Linked DNA regions of Zea mays. The protein of the gene in region 1 interacts with the protein of each later gene in a pairwise test. Links are inferred from orthologs where the notes say so. Each region holds a gene or a part of one and is shown in the gene's direction. Other genes may lie near its edges.

The links.
Region 2: the proteins of Protein farnesyltransferase subunit beta-like (region 1) and protein farnesyltransferase/geranylgeranyltransferase type I alphasubunit interact in binary tests that used the Arabidopsis thaliana proteins (3 or more experiments, as listed by UniProt). The link is inferred for Zea mays from reciprocal best matches to the Arabidopsis thaliana genes ERA1 and FTA.

Annotation. Positions count from the first base shown.
Region 1 is NC_050098.1:205,213,258-205,221,664, forward strand, and holds the start of Protein farnesyltransferase subunit beta-like, read left to right. Parts: upstream 1-4,613; 5' UTR 4,614-4,674; coding exon 4,675-4,847; exon of another isoform or gene 4,848-5,051; intron 5,052-5,180; coding exon of another isoform or gene 5,181-5,195; coding exon 5,196-5,282; intron 5,283-5,378; coding exon 5,379-5,520; intron 5,521-6,003; coding exon 6,004-6,086; intron 6,087-6,159; coding exon 6,160-6,213; intron 6,214-6,311; coding exon 6,312-6,363; intron 6,364-6,429; coding exon 6,430-6,494; intron 6,495-6,600; coding exon 6,601-6,657; intron 6,658-6,729; coding exon 6,730-6,802; intron 6,803-7,002; coding exon 7,003-7,089; intron 7,090-7,165; coding exon 7,166-7,307; intron 7,308-7,722; coding exon 7,723-7,829; intron 7,830-8,129; coding exon 8,130-8,366; 3' UTR 8,367-8,407. Other genes in the region: pentatricopeptide repeat-containing protein At4g32450, mitochondrial, read right to left, coding at 1,515-3,687, 4,098-4,216. UniProt on the Arabidopsis thaliana protein: Catalyzes the transfer of a farnesyl moiety from farnesyl diphosphate to a cysteine at the fourth position from the C-terminus of several proteins having the C-terminal sequence Cys-aliphatic-aliphatic-X (CaaX).
Region 2 is NC_050097.1:199,354,047-199,362,453, forward strand, and holds protein farnesyltransferase/geranylgeranyltransferase type I alphasubunit, read left to right. Parts: upstream 1-4,222; 5' UTR 4,223-4,406; exon of another isoform or gene 4,407-4,727; intron 4,728-5,240; 5' UTR 5,241-5,317; coding exon 5,318-5,539; intron 5,540-6,206; coding exon 6,207-6,316; intron 6,317-6,553; coding exon 6,554-6,674; intron 6,675-6,787; coding exon 6,788-6,883; intron 6,884-7,344; coding exon 7,345-7,776; 3' UTR 7,777-8,072; downstream 8,073-8,407. UniProt on the Arabidopsis thaliana protein: Essential subunit of both the farnesyltransferase and the geranylgeranyltransferase complex.

The DNA of each region.
Region 1 (8,407 bases):
ACCCGCTAGTTCACTTTTAAACTAAAACGTGAGTGAGTAGTACTTTATTTTTTGTGACACCTTATTGGAGATGATTTAAATAGGAAATTGTTGATGCTGTTTTTTGTAAGTTAAGCTCTATATTTCAAGATAGACCATTAAATTAAGGCGCTGGAGATGCTCTGTGGACTAAAACAGATTCTATGCCCTCGTGATTTATGTGTACCACCACCTCGTGCATTCGTGTGGGCAATCGATTGCCCTATAATTTTGAATCAGATAATTTGAGTAATTTAATATTTAGATATTAGAAATTGTTATTGATTTTGATCAGGAAAAAACCATCTGAAATTTTGGTACCCGATAATTCAAGTTCAGGGAACTATTATCCGATATACCTTAAATTATCAAAACAATAGTTTTTAAAAAATATACTTGCATTTTAAAGCAATAAACAATGATAATCAAATCATGCCTTCGCATCAATTAACAACAACCCAGTCATCAAGTTAGTATAGATCTACATTTAGTCATACCAAACAATAAATTTACACTAAACCTAGGGTTGTTTGGTTGGGCTGTGAAAAAAAGCTATTGTGAGCTGTAAAAAAAGCTGTTGTAGACTGTGAGTCGTTAAAAAGCTAAAACTCGTTTGGTGGAAACCACTAAAAGCCGCTAAAAGTTTTTTTATATATATTTTCACAGTTTCATCCGAAAGCCGCTAAAAACAGGTCTAAAGGTGCTTTAAAGTTTTCGAGAAAGTCGACTTTTAAAAAAATGCTTCTAAATCCAGCCCTTTGATTTAACTTTTGTCTTTTAGGAGGCAAAAGCTAAAGTCAAAAGCCAAACCATGCACACCTCTAGCCACCCTCATGTCTTTATATTTAGAAATATAGAAGAGCAAATATCTCAAATGGTTATAGTATTTAGGGAATATTACCTTAACTATTTAAATTAAATTTTATTTTTTTAATAATTATTATTTGAAATTATGATCAGATATTTTAGGTTTAGTTCAAGTAATTTGGGTTTGGAGATAGGCTATTGGTTATTTTGTCCACCCCCACCATTCAACACCACACGTCTGAGCTGCAGTGGCGGAGCGTGACCGAAAAGCCCAATCCACAGCCGAAGCCAAACAGGCACAAGAAAAGGCTCCTGCTAGCTATATAAGCAATGGATCCAGAATGCAGTCAGAAAGCTTTGTAATCAGCTGAATCAAAGTTTACATGCCAAGGGACCACTACCCAGTTACATTCTACTGTTTTATTTTGGTGGCAAGTAACAAATCAGAGACAACAGTTGTTAAAGTAAAAGCTCAGGCTTAACGTATGAGCTGCAAAATAGAACACCAGAGCTGCTTAGGACCTGTTTGGCTGTTTCTCACTGACGACATCATACAGCATGTCTCTCACATGAAACTATTAGCTAACTAAATGTTAGATAGGCATCAGCCTACCTTCAGCACATAAACAACCTATAGCGGTCTTGTGCCAATAAAAATTGACCAAGATGTGGACTTTCTTTCATCTTGTTTACCAGTAGTCTTTGCAAGAACACACACCATTTTCGAAGTGGTGGAACCTCTTTGCATCCCTTGCAATGATCTGACGTCCAACAAGTTTTGAGATTATCTTGAAAGCCGTGTGACAATCCCCACAGGATCGAAGATTCTTTATAACCCGAATAGGTGAGCGGGGAGCACTTGTTATAAGACCGTAACTGATAGCCAGCCTCTCACTGTGAGCCAGTAAAGCATCCTCTTTGGTTTCTTGATCAACATCGTGAAGAACAAATCGAGTGTCAGCAATATACCCAGCTTCCTTCATGTGAGCCAACAAATACCTCAGCTCTTCATAGATCTTAGGAGTGTCAGGGTGAGATCGGTCGCCAGCTCTGTATTCATGGACCTTGCTCCGAGCTTCGGCGACACTTGCCTTTTTCCTTTCCTTTTCCTTTGCAAGATCTGACACATCGACAGGGAACAGACCCATTTTAGACTGTTCATTCAGCCTAGAAGAATCCAAGCACTCTATGATCTGAGCACAACGATCTCCAAGCTCTAAAAAGCCATTAAGTCGACACATGTTCATCAAATTTTCCCATACCTCAATGCTTGGTTCCACAGGCATCCGTTCCACGAATTCATAAGCCTCGACAATGTAGCCAGACTGTCCAAGCATAGTAACAATGCTTGCATAATGCTCTGTAGTGGGATGTATGCCAAAATCTTTCTGCATGGATTCAAAATGCAACATTCCTTCATTAACAGATCCCAAAATTCCACATGCCAAGAAAACATGTCTGAACATGCCATGATCTGGCTTGTCCCCTGTCTGCTTAAACCGTTCAAAAAAATCTATTGCTTCTTCACCAAGAACATTGTGCACAAAACCTGAGATCATAGTGTTCCAAGAAGTCAAATTATGATGATCCATAGAACTGAAAATCTTCTTTGCATCTTCCATAGAACCACACCTAGCATACATCTCCATAATTTTGTTTTGAAAATCTGTGTCAACAGTAAGTGATGATTCAGATATTTGACTATGTATTAATCTTGCTTCTGAAAGGGCAGTTGCATCACCACATGCTTGCATCAATCTGAAGTACTGAGGAGCATGTAGCACAATTCTGTTTTCCTTTAGCATAGCCAAAACTTCCAGAGCTTCTTTTACATTGCCATCATCACAAAACTTCTCCAGTTCTTCAACAGTACATTTGTGTTTGCTGCCAGCTTCACTAGGTACTTCGTAAGGCGATCCAACATTTGAAGGGTTGCCTTGTAGTGACTGATGATATTTGCCATATTCATGAGGTGCACTATTTACATGGTTCCCAAATGATCCAGCAGATTGTGCATGTGAATGTTTTTCTTGATGAACTCCATGAGAGAGGCGTTGCACATCTGTATTTAGGTACATGGAATATCCTTGAGAAGTACTATGTGTATCAGCCTGCCTAGTGAAATAAGGGCTTTGATATGCCTGCGAAGCATTATATCCAAAATTACTATTGTTGCCTTGCTGAAACCCTGCAACATGCTCCTTACGGGAATGAGTTGGATTTACATATTGAGAGGGATGATGCCCAGATCTATCTGGATAACTTCCCCCAGATCTATGATCAACATATTGCTGTTTCTGAACTCGCTGGCTATTTCCAACTGGGTTCGGACATGGTTGTCCTGAAGGACCATATCCATACTGCCCATTATTAGCTCCCTCTCCTTCATAAATCTTCTGCTTACTTTGGGTGTAGTATCCAGAGCTATATGTACTATTAGCTTCTGTGCCATTGTACTGTTGACGATCATTTGAAAAATGTCCATCAAGGCCTTGCTGGCTGTATGGACCACTACCTCTATAAGGTTGTGATGCATTGTATCTCTCATTATTCGCTCTTGTACCAGTATATGGCTGATGATTGTTTTGAAAGCCATATGATCCACCACTTCTGTAATGTTGCTCAGAACTGCCACCAACACCATCCACACCCTTATTTTTGTGAGTACCTGTTGTGGAACCAGCTGAAGTGACATCTCTCTGAAGTTGGAGATTAGAGCCGTTCCAACGGGAGTCAGTGTAGCTACCTGCTTTGTTTTGTCCCCACTCACGCTGATAATCTTCATCAGTCCTTTCAGATGCAAAGGTACCAGCCCCTCGATGTGGAACCCAAGACTGTAGACAAACTCTTTCAGCTGGAAGCCTGCAAGATAAAAGAACCATGCTTTTAGGATGACCCTGAATTGAAAATTTTCAGGTGCAATGTCACTCCTAACAGGTAAGTGTTTTTTCCATTTTGAAAAGTAACAAGCAACATCCTAGTGAACAGAAACACGAATTAGAATTACTGTGAGTCTATGCCAAGGTCCAAGGAATAATTCATGTTCTAATCAGGCAAAAATGACTAGAAATTTCCTTCCCAGAATAATTGGCTACCTTTTGTTTTTAAAAAGTTATATTCTGTTCTGTTCTTAGCAACTGGGAACAATTTACAGAGAACCAAATCGCTTGAGAAGATCTCCAAACTCTAGCCTAGAACAAAAAGATTAGCAACAAGGAATAGCATCGCGTCATATGAATCAACGAGTCAGCACCGAGGCAGTGGCACAGTACCTGAGTGGCGAATCCATGGGCCGGTAGAGGGGAGCTGGCGCGGCCGACGCCGCGATGGTGCCGCGAGGAGAGAACCGAGCGGCCAAGAGCGCCCTACGCGCTCCAACCATTGCAGCCATCTCCCACCCTCTCCCTCTGCACCTCCCTGGGGGCTCGCTTCCTCCCCTTTCTCTTCGTCGCTTAAACCCTCACGAAGGCGAAGCGGCGGCTGCTCCCGGCCGCCAAGCAGATGCGCTGCCTCAGGCAGGCCGTGCGTCGCGTCGCGTCACTCGCGTGGCTATGGAATGGGTTGCTGCGGTGCCGTCGTGGGTTTGGTGTGGTATCGGGTTGGATAACATAGCTCTGGTCAGTGTGATTGGGCCGGCTCAATGAAATTATTGGTTGGGCTCACCCGTCTCGCGGCATCGTAAGATTGCTCCGCTCACCCGTCTCACCACAACACCGAAGCAGCCGAGAACCGGACCCCGCAAGGCCGCAACAGCAAGGGCAGCACTGCCGAAACCGCAGGCCGCAGCACTCGAGAGCGCAGCCAGGCGGCGGCGCTCCGCCTCCGACTCCACACCAGGCCGCTGCGTCCATGGACCCCTCCCCGCAGTCGACGCCGCCCACCGGAGACGACCCGGCAGCGGCGGCGGATCCCGACCTACCGAGGCTCACGGTGACGCAGGTGGAGCAGATGAAGGTGGAGGCCAGGGTTGGCGACATCTACCGCTCCCTCTTCGGGGCCGCGCCCAACACGAAATCCATCATGTGAGCATCCCTAAGCACACGCTAGTTTTCTCACTTCTATTTGAGTATATCCCCTGGCTGCCGACAGCCGGCAGTGCTTGGCGGGTCTCAACGCATGGATTTAGTTTGGATATTGGAGTATTTGATACGCTGTAGCTTGAAAAATAGCTAGTCCTCTGATAACTTTGCCCGTGGCACCAGATAGTTCAGTGCAGGGTTTCTGATTTGGTGCGTACAGAAGCTTAGTACTGCTAGTTATGTATTGTTGGATAGCGTCTTAGACACAAACACTTGAATGTGAGTTGATATTAGGGTGTGGGTCCACTGTCTCCTCATCAGCCTTTTGTTGTCGAGTTGTTTTCTGTGCAGGCTAGAGCTGTGGCGTGATCAGCATATCGAGTATCTGACGCCTGGGCTGAGGCATATGGGACCAGCCTTTCATGTTCTAGATGCCAAGTAATGATTGTGCATGGTTAAGTTATCTTTGCAATATCCTGTTTGATTGTGACACTAATGCATATTTGTTCTGGTATTGCTTTTAATTGGTTTCAGTCGCCCTTGGCTATGCTACTGGATGGTTCATCCACTTGCTTTGCTGGATGAAGCACTTGATGATGATCTTGAGAATGATATCATAGACTTCTTAGCTCGATGTCAGGATAAAGATGGTGGATATAGTGGTGGACCTGGACAGGTTGCTCCAATCCCAAAATCTTTTGAGCTAGATAATATCTTTGATTTTGCTATTAGCATTGATTTTTTTTCTAAATAAGATCTTCGATTTATGTAGTGCATGCATTAGCCTTGGATATGTCCAATGAATCGCCGAGGACATATATGTTTGTTGTTTCACATTAAATCCTTCTTTAGCTCACCTGGTTGTAATTGTAGCATTTTTAGTTGATATTAGCATGTCCATGTAACAAACAAAATATCTGCCGGTGGTGGTGGGTACTATGCTTTTGATTTGTATACTCAAGGCTATCTTTTTAGATAGCAAAGCTAAATTATTGGGTGCTTTAAATTAGCCTTCTCATTCAATTAGCATTACTTATGAACCAGAAATCTTGTTTGTTATTGATTTATGAAGTCTGTTTGAGTTCATTTATGTTGAGTTTGAGTCATTCAAGAGGGTAAATTATAGATTGTTTTTATACAAAGTCCACGTCCTTTGCAGTTGCCTCACCTAGCTACGACTTATGCTGCTGTAAATACACTTGTGACAATAGGGAGCGAAAGAGCATTGTCATCAATCAATAGGTAAATCTCATGGTTGCTCTAAAACAAGATCTACAAGAGTCATTTTGTTAATTATGTTTACCTTGTGGGTCAGGGGCAACCTGTACAATTTTATGCTGCAGATGAAAGATGTATCAGGTGCTTTCAGGTACGCAACCTATCAGCGTGGATAATGTACAGATACCACTTTCTCAGTTGTAGCCCTTCAGAGGTGATGCCTGCCACTCATTTTTTCCTTTGCCCTAGAATGCATGATGGTGGCGAAATTGATGTCCGTGCTTCCTACACCGCTATATCGGTGAGTTTCTTTTGGTCCTTTGCAATTTTTCTGCAGTTACTTGATATTTTCTGATGTTGACTTTAGGTTGCCAGCCTTGTGAATATTCTTGATTTTAAACTGGCAAAAGGTGTAGGCGACTACATAGCAAGGTTTTGTTTGTGTTATATACATTCAATTTTTTCCAGTTGCAAAATTGTTGCTTGGTCACAGTTCTTTTCTAGAATGTTGCTCAATTGATATACTATATGACTGCAGATGTCAAACTTATGAAGGTGGTATTGCTGGGGAGCCTTATGCTGAAGCACATGGTGGGTATGTTTCTAAGGATTTCTGTGAAGTTTGAAATTTATATGTTAAGAACATTAACAAAGTTGCATTCATAAGGTATACATTCTGTGGATTGGCTGCTTTGATCCTGCTTAATGAGGCAGAGAAAGTTGACTTGCCTAGTTTGATTGTAAGATAACCTCTTCCTCCCTTAGTTTATTTAATTTACTTCTATAATTATGATGTGTTTATGTGTATTAGATCATTAAGTTATTTTTTAGCTCCTTGGTGAAAGTGCATGACAAGTAGTAGATACTTGTGTGTTTGGCTGATGCAACAATTGTTTTTGTTACAATATTTGGCGTTGTTGCTGGCATCTTCACCATTTAGGGCTGGGTGGCTTTTCGTCAAGGAGTGGAATGCGGATTTCAAGGACGAACTAATAAATTGGTTGATGGTTGCTACTCCTTTTGGCAGGTAATTGTAACATCTGTCTACTTTTATCTTTGCCACATGTTGTGCTCCATGTTACAGAAATCTAGTGTGTGACCAGGGAGCTGCCATTGCTTTCACACAAAAGTTAATTACGATTGTTGATAAGCAATTGAAGTCCTCGTATTCCTGCAAAAGGCCATCAGGAGAGGATGCCTGCAGCACCAGTTCATATGGGTGCACCGCGAAAAAGTCTTCCTCTGGTAAGAATCAGGACCATTTTTTTTTCTTATGGATTGAAAATTATTTCTCCACTTTTGTTTGTGATAAATATGAAAGAAGTTTTTGTAGATAGATGTAAACTGTAATTGATTGGAACTTCTTTATTCCTCGTGCAATGCAGCAATCAACTGATAACTTAAAAAAAGGCAGTTTTGCTGTATATTTTCTAGTAGGTGGGTGAGCAAACAGTACCGATTATCAATTTTTAAAACCTTGCCGCTTACTGTCGACCTAATGCCATTCCTCGTACTGTTTATACTTTTGGTGCATTTGATGTGCAAATTTATAATGCCCCCATAAGATCATGACCTGACCTGAACTAACGTATTGATTTTCAAATTATGCGGGGCTTGATTTATGTCATGATACTCAAATGTTTTGCTTGTTCTCCTGAAGCTGTGGACTATGCGAAGTTTGGATTTGATTTTATACAACAGAGCAACCAAATTGGCCCACTCTTCCATAACATTGCCCTGCAACAATACATCCTACTTTGTTCTCAGGTGAGGTAACTTTGAATACAATATTATTTTCATATGCAGAGTTTTATCACTAGAATGTGAAATTCTGCAATGCCGTCTTATTATAGTTGTTACCACCCTCTATCCCGAAATTATAAGTTGTTTTAGCTTTTCTAGGTTACATAACTTTTGATATGCACCTAGATATACAATGTCTACATACATAGCAAAAGTTATGTGCCGAAAAATGCCGAAACAACCTATAAATTGGAACGGAGGGAGTATTTATTGAGGAAATGAGATCTCAGATAAGTTAAGATTACAATCGCTTCTGTAACTCAGGTACTAGAGGGAGGCTTGAGGGATAAGCCTGGAAAGAACAGAGATCACTATCATTCATGCTACTGCCTCAGTGGCCTCGCAGTTAGCCAGTACAGTGCCATGACTGATACTGGTTCGTGCCCATTACCTCAGCATGTGCTTGGACCGTACTCTAATTTGCTGGAGCCAATCCATCCACTCTACAATGTTGTCCTAGATAAGTACCATACAGCCTATGAGTTCTTCTCAGAAGAGTGATCTAATGTTAGAACCTAAGAACAATTGGCTAAGGTTGTGTA
Region 2 (8,407 bases), on another chromosome or scaffold:
TCATCACGTACTCCCTGTCGGAAGGCCATGATGATGGAAGCATCGGAAATGCGAGGTATAGTACCTCGCACCTTGGTGAAGCGGGAGATGAACGTCCGAATAGTCTCCCTGGGCTCCTGCCTCACCGCATGGAGGTGGGCCTCCACACCGTGCTGCTGGTAAGCACTAGCAAAGTTCACAATGAACCGCGCACAGAGCTCTTCCCAGGAGTAGATTGACCCTGGGGCGAGGTTCATGAGCCAGGTCCGGGCAGGTCCAAACAAGGCGACATGAAAATATGTCGCCATCACAACGATGTTTCCACCTGCTGCTGTGATAGCGGTGACGTACACCTGCAGGAACTCCGACGGGTTTGATGTTCCGTCGTACTTTTCCGGCAGGTGCGGCCAGAACTTGGGTGGCCATGACGCCGCGCAGAGATGATCCGCGAGAGCGGCGCAGCCCACGCCGGCCAAGGGGACACCCGCTTGGGACCTGCGGTGCTACCGCAGCAAAGTCTTGATCGAGGTTGTGACCCTCGATGTTTTGGCGGCGCTCGCGCGCCCTTTCCAAAGAGATTCGGGCGTCCTCTCCCGTGCGCCTGCGGTTGAGTTCGGCCCAGAGGTCGTTGGTCTGTGTGCCCTTACTGAGGGTGAGCGCACAGACGCCGACGCCTCATGTTGGCGTCGGGATGACCGTGACCTCGACCTGGTCGAGGTAGAATGCGCCATGCCGAGCAGTCGGTCGACGTCGTTCCGCCACTGCTTCATGGCCCCTAGTGAGGTCGTGGAACTTGGAGGGTGTCGCAACAACTCCCTGGCTGCTAACAACGCTCCCGAAGCCGCCCTCGACGGAGTCCGAGATGTCTATGCGGCTGTATGCTGCCGTGCAGCGTGCACAACAGCGGTGCCCGGCATTGGGCGGTTGGAAACCTGTGGCGTGGAAGAAATAGTTTCTTCCTCCACCAGGAAATCCGTGGAAGTCTCGGCGCGGTGCTCAACGATTTGCACCATCATGCCGAGCGAGGAAACAAGCAAAAACCTAATGCCTAGGCCCCTACCTGGCGCGCCAAATGTCGGAGAGGGAATTCTCCGGCCAGGTGGCGGAGTGCACCCGCCCTAAATCCTAAGATGAGGAAGGGGCTTAAGCGTTTTGCCTATCCTGCTAAGCGAACATCAAGCACATGAACACGCGAGAGTTTAGAGTGGTTCAGACCGCCGGAGCGTAACACCCTACTCCATTGTATGTTGGATTGCTGTGGAAGCTTGAGAATTGAGTGTCTAAGTTGGGCCTAAGTCTGTCCCAGCGAGCCTGTCTTGTAACGTTGCATGCCTCCCCTTTTATAGCTAAGGGGGGCATGCATAAAGGTACTGAGCCCCGACATGTGGGCCCAGGAACATAACAGACGTAGCACTTGGAGCCACAAATGTTCGCTGCTGGAGCAATCTTCTTGCGCCCTGACATTCGAGATCTGCGTAGTATCGGCGTGCAGGGGAAGCTTCTCGTATAAGGGATGATGAGCACAGTGCGCCGTGCGGCACCGGTGCACTGTTTGATAGTGGATTGGACAGGTGCGCCGTCTGCAGGGTGGCTCTGACGCCGCCTGCCAGCGGAGTGGACAAGACACAATAAATGCTGAGGGGGCACATCGCCAATGCAGAGTCCGCGCGGTCTAGGGGCCTTACGCCAGGCTCCGCCCGCTGGCTTATGTCACGGGCAACGAGCCACGTGGGCGCATCGGGTCTCCGCTTGAGCGGGGAGCGCATGCGCAGAGTAAAGCCCGGCCACGCGTCAGCACCGGACCCTTGCTCATGCCAGGGTTTCCCCTGTCCCAGGACCTTGTTGCGGCCCGGACCTTACTCGGAGGGATCTGGACCCCATCCAAGGGACCCGGCACGCTTACTCGGGAGTCCCGGGCCACAATCGGGGGTCCGGGTTGTGCGTACAGGGGTCCGGCGCTCCCTTGCGGAGGTCCGGCTCGACTGACACATCCTGGATGTATCATCTTTCCTTGCCATATGGTGCCCCTTGATCTGCCCATGTGGTGGGGACGAGCGTTGTTCACAGTGTGGCTAAGGAACGACGTACGAGTACCGCGTCTTCATACTGTAGTAAGAGGTACCCTGTTTCAGGGTACCGACACCGCCATTCTTCCTCCTCCCATCTATTTGTGTCGTCTCCTGGTTTCGTTTGCCTAGGGTTTGTTCTACTCCTCCCCGTATTCCCCATCGCTGCTCCCCTTTCTTGCCCCTCTTTGGAGCTTTGGTCTCTGCTGCTAGCCGTCGCCTTCCTCACTTGAGCACTAGATCTGTGCGATTTGGCTGGTTGTTCGCCTACAGTTCTTCTTCATTCGATTTGGCTGGTCACTGGTTGGGTTTGATTATGCCTTTTGTCTCCTCCCCATTTTCCATCTTGTTTCTTTTTAGCATGGCAAACACCGCTGAGAGGTCGGCCTTGAAATCTGCCTTTGCTGTTGATGAGACACGTAAAGCCTTAGTTGTTGCGGCAATGAATACACAAGGAGACGGCGCAAATGGACGGGAGGAGGAAGAACAGAGGCAGGGACAGGAAGGGAAGAGCATAGATCCTAACGGAGATCAGGCGGTGCCAAAACCAAATCTTTAATGTGCACTGGATTATGATGCTAATATTGTAATTGACGTGTTCGAGGTAGGGGTGACAATTTAACCCCCGAAACCCGACTGGATGCAGGTATTAGTGAAATTTTGATCCACGGATGCAACCTACACCTGGTCGAAGTTTCGCGGGTGTGGTTGATGATTTCTATTTAAACCCGCGGGTGACCCGCACCCGACTTAAAATTTGGTGTATTCATTATTTTGCGCAATAATTAAGATACAATAGTAATTATTTTTAATAAGTGACTTGACTAATGATTCATGAAGTGTTTTGTTGTTGCTCAACATGTGAAGGCTAAAATCTATAGATATAACTCAATTATTGTTGATATTTAATTGTTTGTAGTTAAAATATTACTTAAAAGGTACAATGATCTGAAACCCGATAAGTTTAGATACGAGTTTAAAATTACGTCCACAGGTATGATCGCAGACGGATTTAGATAGACTTTTGTGGTCACGGGTTTTGATACACCCGACACAGGTCCAATTCTCTCAAGCATGTGAGAAATTTGTGATTTTGTCACTCCCAATTTTGGTTGTCTGCTATTATGTCATCCTGTATCTATGACTGGTAGGACCATCTGTGTCTATGATTTGTGGGTCCGATGATATACTGGCGAAACCCATAAATCATAATGTCAAAATTGCCAATATCTCCAAGCCTGTCGATGCCAAATCTATACTATACTTAAAACACCAGTTTCAACGGTCGTCATGCGTCATTTTTTTACAAATAACCCCTCACAGCTATTTCAAATTAATTCGTTGCACGTCTATAGATGCGTAAAATGTTAAAAAATAGTGTAGGAGGTGGGGTTCGAACGCATGCCCTGATGGAAGAAGGGCGGGAGACACTAGGTGAAATTGTCTAACCAGTAGAACATCACGCTAAAATGTTTTTAATATTGAATATAAATTGTATATAGGTATATACGCTTTTTTGTAAAAATTAAAAATAATCGTGTCGGGCCGGTCCAGCACTACGGGCCGACTGAGACCACATTGGCGCAATAGACTACATGGTGTTTGAGGTTGCTGAATTAGATGGGGCAGCAATGATTGGTCACACTAACAGCAAAATGAAAGGTTATTTGTTAGTTTTAAACGTTAATAATTGCTACGAAGTAGCGTAATTTATATGAAGCGCATCCAGTTTTTATTAATGCCTGACTTTAGCAATCACTCCATATTTTGATCTATCTTTTTTATAAGTTTGACTTCACGGGACTTATTTTATAAACTTGATCTCGCAAACTTTCTCTTATTTGATCTCTGTATGATGGAATTATGTCATTTTATAATCTCTGTTCATTCAGTCAATCGTTGTGAACTATCTTTTAATCGCTCACTTAATTGGTTGTGTTGTACCAAGACATATTTGTATGTAGTAAACAATAACATCAGTTAGCCAAATCAAAAATATATTATACAGAGAGCGGAGACGATCGATAAAAAAATCTTGAATTTTTTTTGATGGATAGTTTATGTTGGTATTGTTGTAAGCCGTCGCAACGCACCGGCAACCGACTAGTATGAAAAAAAATATCACTTTCTTCTCTCTTCTTATTCAGTTCTGTTTCGTGCCAATCAGACGGCGGCCGCCTCCTCTCCCCCCGCTGCCGAGCTCACCCTTCCGCCTGCCGCCTGAACTTGTCTCGCCCGCGGCAGATCTGCTCCTTCCGCTCGCTGCACCGCAACCCGGATAGGAGACCGCGCGCGGTCGAGAACTACCTGGGGACCAACGTCCTCGACCAGCTCCGGTGCGGCCGGCACACAGCTCCACAGGTAGGTCTCCGTCACAGTGCCACGATATTCTCCCTCCGTCCCACGCCAACAGCTCGTCCTCTCCGTCTGCTTGATTCTGCTCTAGCCTCAGACCGGCCGTCGCTCTAAAAAGATCATTACGCACACAATCTGCTGGTACCTGTATGCTGCAATCCTACCCTGCCTTGTCTTTTTGCATCACCTAAGAATGCCCCCCCCCCCCCCCCCCCTCCCCCCCAACGGCCATCGCTGTTGTCCTACTTCGCCAGCGATGAGCACCGCCTGGTATTCGCTCCCCTTGCTGTGCGAAACCGTGTGCCCAAACCTTGACGTAACTCGTAGGTACGGCCTCTCCTTCTTCCCTTCCTGCTGTGTGAAACCGTGCGCCCAAACCCTAACATACTATTCGCAATCGGATCTGAATCTAATTACAAGTGTATATGCATGTATTATACCTACTAACCTCGATGACTTTGCCAAAATTATTGGGTGTAGATGTGTACACCCATGTCCTTTACTGGGCCCTCTCCTGTGGCCGGTTGCTGTTCCATGAAAGGAACACGGAAATTAATTAACTTAAATTCGAATCTCTGTGTGATGTGTGTTGATGCCTGAAAACTGAATCTTTATTATTGTCTTATTGGCCTGTGTTGATGCCAAAATGAATCTTGTGGACACCAGTCACACCACTGCACTATGTTGATGTTGAAAATAACAAATTAAACTGATAGACTAAACACGGCAGTTCAATGGTTCAAGTAGAATAATAGTGTCCTTGAATAATTGTTAGACAACATTACTGTTAGGTTCTTTGTGTTTTTTCACTTATCTTGCTGCTGACTTTTCTGTTTGTAGATTTGGACAGCGCAATTACTTAAGCTATTTGTATTCGGATCTGATCCAACCCTGGTGGTCAGCTGGACTCATCGCCCATGGAGCACACTAAGTCAGGCCCCAGCAGTTGGCCAGAACTGGCCGACGTGGTGCCGGTGCCGCAGGACGATGGGCCTAGCCCTGTGGTGTCCATCGCCTATCGAGATGACTTTCGTGAGGTCATGGATTACTTCCGCGCCCTCTACCTCACCGGTGAGCGAAGCCCTCGCGCTCTCCGCCTCACCGCCGAGGCCATCGAGCTCAACCCCGGCAACTACACTGTGAGAATTCCCTTCATCCTTTTTTCTTGGCATACTTCAATTTTTTATGGGGTTATTTGAAACTTAAAGTTTCTATGAACAAGTGAGAATGATTTTTAAGGTAAAATATACTACTTTTACTATGGAGGTTCAGCCATTTCGTTCCAATTTGACTTGAAACCAACTAACCAAGTGTTAGTGGTGAGCTTCAATGACTACAATGGAGACAATTTGTTATCCACTACTCGTCTTAGTCAGTTATGAGTATGCAACACTGCTACAGAAAGTAGAAAAAACAGCGGAGGTGGAGCCAGTTTTAGAAAGTTGGAATTTTCCATGTAAACTACCTAGTCTAGCCTGTAGCCTGTTGCAGTTTTAGAAAGATTGTCCTCTCATGTTAATGCTGCCTCTCATTCAATCATAAAGAATACTTTATCATCCTCCATGATTTTTATAGAAGGTAAAGGCATACTGCTTGGGCATAATTTTCTTCTTGTAATGCTTCATGCAGTATGCTACATAATTCTTGAACAGCACTGATGTTATGTAGTATCAGAGAATTACTTATTATGCTATTACCAGCTTATTACCATGTTGTTTTACTTTGTATCATGTATTTGTTTTTAGATCAGTCAATTCTTTTGATGGTAACTTTTTTGACAATACAGAATAATTATCTATTTGATAGGTCTGGCATTTCCGGCGCCTTATTCTGGAGTCACTAGATTTTGATTTACTAGAGGAGATGAAATTTGTCGAAAAAATTGCTGAATGCAATCCAAAAAATTACCAAATCTGGTGAGTTTCATTGTACATATATTTTTTCACATTTAGTAATTCACTGCATATCTTTTTTCACATTTAGTAATTCACAGAAACTAATTTATCTTTGGTGTCTGCAGATTTTGCATGAATGATTGGCAATATCTTGACTAAATATCTTCCATAGTTTTTTTAAACTTTGATCATCTTTTATCTTTGCTCTGGAAAAGTGGAAATCATGACTAACTGTTGATGGTCCAATTTTATTACCAGGCACCATAAGAGATGGCTTGCTGAGAAATTAGGACCTGGTATTGCAAACAAAGAGCATGAATTCACAATGAAGATACTTGCTATTGATGCAAAAAATTATCATGCTTGGTCTCATAGGCAGGTATGCGTACCCATTTTCTGTATTCTAAGTTTCCAAATTTGGGTACTAAGCTAAACTGAGTATCAGTAAAATCTTTCTTCTACTAACGGGATTGCTTAATTCAATTGTTATAGTGGGTTCTTCAAGCGTTGGGGGGATGGGAGACTGAATTAGAATACTGTGACCACTTACTTAAGGAAGACGTCTTCAATAATTCAGCTTGGAATCAGGTCATGCTCTATTATTTCCGCCTTAAAATTTTCTTGTTTTCCCATCATGTTTGAGAAAATTTTCCAGTTTTTATGCAGTTTAACTTGCATTGCTTCATTATTTTAGTTCGCAGATCATCCCATGTTAATTTCATACAATTAGTATGGATAACTGTATGCATTCTGATTTACTTCCTGTATTTTAAAGTCTACGGCATTATAGAAATTACAATCGCCTATGTAAACATTTTCTCTGTTATTTGTAAAAAAATGTATATAAGATCATGTCTATGTAACCAACATAGGTAGTACATATCTGTCAAAGCTGGGCAAAGTTGATTGTATGACTATTCTTGACATTCATATTGCCTGTTACATCCTGCTGTGTCCTGTGCTGCTTCCTAAGTGTTTTTTTTTCTGCTGACTGATAGGGATCAGCTATTAAGCTTGCACTGAAGTATCTTTAACTTTTTCTCCAACAGAGATACTTTGTTATAACAAGATCACCATTTCTTGGTGGCCTTGCGGCAATGCGTGATTCAGAAGTAGACTACACAATTGAAGCTATTCTAGCAAACGCTCAGAATGAAAGCCCCTGGAGGTACCTCAAGGGTCTATACAAGGGTGAGAATAACCTGCTAGTAGAGGACGAGCGCATCTCTGCTGTTTGTTTCAAGGTCCTGAAGAATGATTGGACTTGTGTATTTGCTTTGAGTTTGCTGCTCGATCTTCTCTGCACTGGTTTGCAGCCTTCAGATGAACTTAGGTCCACTCTTGAAACAATAAGGAGCTCCCATCCTGAAACCGCGGATGATGATCCTGCAGCCGCTGTTTGCTGTATCCTGCAGAAATGTGATCCCCTGCGGGTAAATTATTGGTCTTGGTTCAAGGACACTCTTTCTCAGATCTCATGACTTCACATGGGTTCACCCCTTGTCCGCGCTGGTCCGGGCTCTGTGAGATAGACATGTTTTAGATAGTTTCATTGGACACCCAAACAGAGCGGACAGAGTGTATGGCTGCTACCTTCTCCGTGACTGAAAGCAGTGCTTGTAACGATTTTGTTTAGTAAAATTTGTGAGTGTTACTGCTCCAAACAACACCTTATGCAACCATATTTGAATATTTCACATGTAAGCTTGAATCCAGGTGTGTTTGTTAATGTATTACAATTGCCATGGGAGCCTAAATGAGACCCATAATCACTTCCACTAGAGTCGGAAGACCGTGTCGAGCAGTTCACTCATATGGTCACTTAAAGCACTCTTCTGCACTGTAAATTGTAATATTCGCAGAGTTTTAAATATGGGTATGACGATGAGTACGCTGCTGAAAATAGTCTAACCATTTGCTTTGATTTTCAATGACTCTGGCATAACTTTTATCAGGACATATATCATTTAAAAGTAAATATAGTATAAGTGAATGTGATTTTTATTGTACACGATAATACAAAATCTGTGATTTTAAGGTGGGCAATAACATGTTGGTTTCGCTCTTGATTGAAGGCAGCCACCAATCGGTTCTAAACCTGTGAGTCTCAAA